2 linked regions of the Oryctolagus cuniculus genome follow. The protein of the gene in region 2 purifies or fractionates together with the protein of the main gene of each other region. This does not show direct contact. Links are inferred from orthologs where the notes say so. Each region holds a gene or a part of one and is shown on either strand. Other genes may lie near its edges. The genes, in order: NCK1 and ABL1.

Region 1 (2,655 bases), on a different chromosome or scaffold from region 2:
TGGGTGGTGGCGGGGTAGCTACAATGGACAAATTGGGTGGTTCCCTTCAAACTATGTAACTGAAGAAGGTGACAGTCCTTTGGGTGACCATGTGGGTTCTCTATCAGAGAAATTAGCAGCAGTTGTCAATAACTTAAATACTGGGCAAGTGTTGCATGTGGTACAGGCTCTTTACCCATTCAGCTCATCCAATGATGAAGAACTTAATTTTGAGAAAGGAGATGTCATGGATGTTATTGAAAAACCTGAAAATGACCCGGAGTGGTGGAAGTGCAGGAAGATCAATGGAATGGTTGGTCTGGTGCCAAAAAACTATGTCACCATCATGCAGAATAATCCATTAACCTCGGGTTTGGAACCATCACCTCCACAATGTGATTATATTAGGCCTTCACTTACTGGGAAGTTTGCTGGCAATCCTTGGTATTATGGCAAAGTCACCAGGCATCAAGCAGAAATGGCATTAAATGAAAGAGGGCATGAAGGAGATTTCCTCATTCGTGATAGTGAATCTTCGGTAAGTTGATTTTTCAAAGGTGAATGGAAACAGAGCTCTGGGTATTAAAAAACAAAAACAAAAAACAGACTGGAGAGAAGTAAAGTATCTTTCCCTAAGGTGGTAAGCTGGGACATCAACTTAAATGTTCTGAAGCTGAAGTCAGTATTTGTTCTACTTCTGTCTATTTTTAATAAAAGATACCTATAGCAGTGTTATACCATGGAATATGTGACTTTTACTAGCTCTGTTGGCTTCACATACCTAGAATATTTTCTCTTGCTTTAAACTGAAAAATAGACGAAACTGAACATTGGCTTCTTCCTTGAGAGTAGAATAATATAGTAGATGTAATTGGGAAAATATTTCTTAAGTTGTTACTGGATGCAGTGCATAATAAAGTAATCATCACAATTCCTACAACATATAGGAGATTCCCTAAACTTAAAATTTGATATTTAAATTCCTTCATAAATTGGTTGTTTAGAAGTTGGAATACACTTATTTGTATAGCTCAAAAGCCTGTTTTACATTTCCCATGTTTGAAATGCATTTACAATAATAGGAAAATTTTATTGCAATAGCTAGTAAAACTATAAAACCATGAAAATTGAAGAACATACTTATATTGAGTATTTGGGCTACTGTCTAGGATATTAGAATTTGGTAACACTTGTTTTTCTTACAAATGGCTTCTTTCCTTGATGCTTTTCCATTTATCAAATGATGTTTGGCATTTGCTTTGTGTGAATGCAGTTGCACAAAAAATGAATGTCTAATTGTATAAAAGATTGAAAGCAAGTAAGAAGAAAATGAGAGAGAGGAAAAAGAGAGGAGTAATTAATTGAACTTACTGATGTGAAGTTCATGAAAATGAGGCCTGTAGCTAAGCCCTCAGAAGAGCTCATAGTTGGTAGGAAAGAGTGATCCATTTTCCTTTAGAGATGCCTATTCTGGCTCACTGAAACTTTGGGAGTTTGAAAGTATCAGAGAGCCTTCTGGCTTTGATGCATACTATTCAGAGTGTTAGATAAAAAGATGAGCAGTTTGAATGCAAAATACTGTGTATTTCCCTGGAGCTATTTGAACATAAAAATTAGCCAAAGTTACATTTAGCGATGTTATTTATTTATTTTTTTAAAGATTTATTATTTTACTGAAAGAATTACACAGAGAGAGAGAAGGAGAGGCAGAGTGAGAGAGAGAGAGAGAGGGGAAGTCTTCCATCCGCTGGTTCACTCCCCAGTTGGCCGCAACAGCCGGATCTGTGCTGATCCGAAGTCAGGAGCTTCTTCTGGGTCTCCTATGCAGGTGCAGGGGCCCAAAGACGTGGGCCATCTTCTACTGCTTTGCCAGGCCATAGCAGAAAGCTGGATTGGAAGAGGAGCAGCTGGGACTTGAACGTTGCTCATACAGGATGCCGGCACTGCAGGCAGCAGCTTTACCTGCAACACCAGCCCCTAGTAATGCAACTCTTAAAGCAGAAGTGTCTTGGGCATATTTTATTTGGCCTGCAAAGTGTCTTTTAAACATTGGCCCACATTTAAATACTGATATATTTATTATAAAAATCTAGACTTCAGATTTCCCTTTCAAAATTGGAAGACCTTGGGATAGATGTTTAGCCTAGCAGTTAAGACCCCTGCATCCCGCCGGCGCCACAGCTCACTAGGCTAATCCTCCACCTAGCGGTGCCTGCACACCGGGTTCTAGTTCCGGTTGGGGCGCCGGATTCTTTCCGGTTGCCCTCTTCCAGGCCAGCTCTCTGCTGTGGCCCGGGAGTGCAGAGGAGGATGGCCCAAGTGCTTGGGCCCTGCACCCCATGGGAGACCAGGAGAAGCACCTGGCTCCCCCCTTCGGATCAGCGTGGTGCGCCGGCCGCAGTGCGCCAGCCGTGGCGGCCATTGGAGGGTGAACCAACGGCAAAAGGAAGACCTTTCTCTCTGTCTGTCTCTCTCTCACTGTCCACTCTGCCTGTCCAAAAAAAAACCTGCATCCCACGATGGAGTACCGAGATTGGGTTCTCAGCTCCAGCTCCTGATTACAGCTTCTTGCTAATGCAGGCCTTGGGAGACAGTGGTGATGGCTCAAGTAATTGGTTTCCCGACCACCTGTATGAGAGACCTGGATTGAGTTCTGGCTCCCAGCAGAGTTCTGGC
Region 2 (3,816 bases):
TCTCCTTGCTGATGCCCAGGCTCCCGCGCAGCCGTCGCTGCATGCGGCTGCCTCCTCGCACTCCTGCACCCCGGTGTGCCTTGTGCATTTGTGGTTAACATCCGTGGAGCAGAGGTTAAACGGCTGCCTCCCTGGAGGCTCAGGAGGCGGGAGGAAGAGAGTTGCGAGGAGGCATTTGGGTGAGCATCAGGAAGAGAGAGGGAGGGAGGAGGCAGAATCTAGGTGGAGGCGCCCGGGCTTTATTTTACTCCGTCCTGGTCATGCCTGGGTAGGACAAGTGGAGACTGTCCTACCTACGTTCCTTGTGACGGAGGATTGGGCTGAGCGTTGGTTGCCGTGCCAGCGTGCAGTAGCGGTAACGGCGCCCTTACGTAACTCGCCGCTGCTCTCCAGGCATTGCTGGAAGCACCTGACACGTTCGTTCATCGCGCGCAGCCCCAGGGTGTAGGTGCCTTTATCATCATCCTCACCTTACAGGGTAACTAACCTGCTGCAGGTCTCAGTGCCTCCCGGGCTGCCCCTGGCGCCGTGCTGGGGCTCAGGCCATGCGCCCAGGGGCTGGCACCGCCCCCAGCCTGCAGGGTCTGAATGCCTGCAGGGGCCGACGCCGTCTGCCTCGCCAATTCTGCACCTTCGCTTGCTGGTGGTGGATTTGGGCAGCCGAATCCTGGGGGTCTCACGGTGACCTTCCTTCCCAGGGACCTTGCTGCCCGGAACTGCCTGGTAGGGGAAAACCACTTGGTGAAGGTGGCTGATTTTGGCCTGAGCAGGCTGATGACAGGGGACACCTACACGGCCCACGCCGGAGCCAAGTTTCCCATCAAGTGGACCGCGCCGGAGAGCCTGGCCTACAACAAGTTCTCCATCAAGTCCGACGTGTGGGGTAAGAGCCGCTGCCCGGCGCAGTCCACTCCCGGGGGGCTTTGCTCCGTTCTCCTCTGCCTCATGCACCAGCTCTTTCCCTTCCAGTCCCTGGTCTCCATTACTTCTCCTTCTTTCTCACTTTATTTCTCTACTTTTGATTCGTTTTGTCTATTTGAAAGGCAGAGGAAGAAAGAGAGAGAGAAAGGGCCATTTGTTCCCAGCCGGTTTCAAACCAGGGCAAGCGTAACAACCACTACACCACAGGAACCGCCTGCTTCTTTGTCATTTAAAATCCTTTCCCCTTTGTTTTCTTGTCAAGGTAGAGTGAGAGTGAGCTTTTTCTTCCTCAGTTATGCAGAATAGCTTGCTGTAACTTATTATTGGGTCATCTTCCACTGCTTTCCCAGGCCACAGCAGAGAGCTGGATCGGAAGAGGAGCAGCCGGGGCTCGAACCGCTGCCTATACGGGATGCCGGCACTGCAGGTTTTAACCCGCTGCGCCACAGTGCTGGCCCCCAACCCTCATGTTTTTAAAAGCGAATCCCAGGCCCCATGTTATTTTGTGTCTGGTGTTCGGCTCCCAGCTAGCTGGACTGTGAAGCTCGGGCTGTTTCTCACAGTTTGCACTGAGATCCAGGTGTGGTTCCCGCAGTGCTTGGCCGGTCTTTGCCGAAGCCGCCTCCAGCCACGGCTCCCTCTCCGTGTCCTTTTTCCCTTGGTTTCCTTTTATGCAGAAGCTCCGTCGCTTGTCCTTGAGTTTCCCACGTGGTGGGTTTTCTCTGCCACCGCTGCTTCTGGGGTCCCGTCGCTGGGTCGCTGAGTCGGCAGCTTCGTCACATCCGGGCCTGCCTTGGGCCTCTTCCACCAGGACTTGGGAAGGTGGCGTGCTCTGTCCTCGGCAGTGCGTCCTGTCCGCGTGTGCCGACACCCAGCGCCTAGACGCGCTGCTTGACAAGGGATGCCAGGAGGAGGTTCCCTGGATCCGTCTTTCCTCACTCACTTATTAGCAGGCTGCTCTGCAAGAAGCCCCTCCCCTTGTCTGCCCGGGCCTTGGTGCTAGTACTAGCGTAGAAGCGGCAGGGTGAGTGCCTGCTCCTCTGCCTTTGTTTACCAGTTTTTGAGATAAGCTGGTCTGTTGATGCCCCTCCGTGGTGCCCCGTGAGGTTTTGTTGTTTGTCACTGCTGATGTCATTATGAACCGGGGAGCTTTATCTGACACATAGAGAGGGGGAGACACACACCCACACACGGAGCAAGGTATATCTTCCGTCTGCGGGTCTCTCCCCAAATGCCTGGGACAGCCGGAGCTCAGCCCGGAGCCAGGAGCTGTCCCAGCCTCTTGTGTGGATGGCAAGGGCCCAAGTCGTTGGGCCGTCATCTGCTCTGTGCTGGGTGCATTAGCTGAAAGCTGGATCAGAAGCATGGAGCGTTCGGGACTGGAACCAGGCACTCCTGTGTGGGACGAGGGGAATCCCAGGAGCTGCTTAACCCGCTGTATCTCATCGTCGGCCAGCGGGAGCTTCAGGGTAACTCCTGGTCCTCTTGGAGTTGCCCTTGGAGTCTTCCATGATGTCCATGCTGTCTGGAATGGCAGGATGCACAAGGCTCACTCACACCTGAGTCCCTGCTTCTCAGCGGAGCCCCGGTTCCTTCAACAGGGGAGGAAGTGTCAAGGCCATAAGCTGGGGTTGCAAAACTTACAAAGATTCCATGAAATTTGTTTGGCAGTTTTTTGAGTTGGCAGAGGAGATAATTCTGTACGCCTAGAAATGAGTGGCCTGTACTGGGCACACAGCAAGCCGGCCACAGAGCCACTGCGGCCTGTGCTGGGTGCACAGCTAGCCGGCCACAGAGCCACGGCGGCCTGTGCTGGGCGCACAGCTAGCCGGCCACAGACCTGTGCGTAGACTGTGGCTGCCTGTTTGCCGGCCCAGGCTCCTGACACCCCACATCCCGCGAGGTGGTTGCATTGGCTGAAAGGCCCCGGGGGGCTGATGGCTTCGCCGTCTTCCCTCCCGCAGTGTTTTCCGTCCGTGTCAGGCACTCTCCTGTCTGCGCTGCCCAGGGTGCTGGTGGTTCGTGCGGGACCAGCGGGGCTGCCTCTGCGGGTGCCCCTGGCGTGTCTGCTGCAGTGGCGTGAGCCTTCCAGCCTCCTTCTCCTTCCTTTTAGCGTTTGGAGTGCTGCTTTGGGAAATCGCCACCTACGGCATGTCGCCGTACCCGGGGATCGACCTGTCCCAGGTCTATGAGCTGCTGGAGAAGGATTACCGCATGGAGCGCCCGGAAGGCTGCCCGGAGAAGGTCTACGAACTCATGCGAGCATGTGAGCCCCGGCGCCAGTCTGGGGGGCGGCGTGAGGGCCGCGCAGAGGCCGCGGGGAGCGTGCGTGTGTGTGTGTGTCTGTGTGTCTGTGTATTCAAAAGATTGATTTATTTAAAAGGCAGAGGCAGAGAGAGAGGTCTTCCATTCGCTATTTTACTCCCCAGATGGCTACAACGGCCGGAGCTGGGTTGATCCAAAGCCAGGAGCTCCATCCAGGTCTCCACGCGGGTGCAGGGGCCCAAGCACTTGGGCCATCTTCTGCTGCTTTCCCAGGTCTTAGCAGAGAGCTGGATTGGAAGTGGAGCAGCCAGGACTTGAACCCACGCCCATATAGGATGCCGGCACTGCAGGCCGTGGCTTTACCCGCTACGCCACAGCGCTGGCCCCTGGATGTATATCTTTTTCACTTTCTTTAATGCTTGTGTGTTTGTTCATACATTGCGCACAAACGCTGCCTACCCAAACCTGGGTTTCTCCTCAGCCCTGAGTGCTGTGCTCGGAGGACCACCCCTCGGGGCGGGACTGCCCCTTCACTTCCGTGCCGTGGCATCACTCGTGCTCGTGTGGGCGTGTGCGCGTGCCTGTGAGTTAGTAGCAGGTGTGGGCTTTCCATGCCTGGGTTTTCAAGTC

Evidence for each region.
Region 1: the proteins of ABL1 (region 2) and NCK1 purify together in Homo sapiens (affinity purification with western blotting; 3 studies listed by BioGRID). This does not show direct contact. The link is inferred for Oryctolagus cuniculus from reciprocal best matches to the Homo sapiens genes ABL1 and NCK1.

Annotation. Positions count from the first base shown.
Region 1 is NC_091435.1:144,672,336-144,674,990, reverse strand, and holds part of NCK1 (SH2/SH3 adapter protein NCK1), read left to right. Parts: coding exon 1-517; intron 518-2,655. UniProt on the Homo sapiens protein: Adapter protein which associates with tyrosine-phosphorylated growth factor receptors, such as KDR and PDGFRB, or their cellular substrates. Maintains low levels of EIF2S1 phosphorylation by promoting its dephosphorylation by PP1.
Region 2 is NC_091432.1:233,493,232-233,497,047, forward strand, and holds part of ABL1 (tyrosine-protein kinase ABL1), read left to right. Parts: intron 1-698; coding exon 699-883; intron 884-3,034; coding exon 3,035-3,187; intron 3,188-3,816. UniProt on the Homo sapiens protein: Non-receptor tyrosine-protein kinase that plays a role in many key processes linked to cell growth and survival such as cytoskeleton remodeling in response to extracellular stimuli, cell motility and adhesion, receptor endocytosis, autophagy, DNA damage response and apoptosis.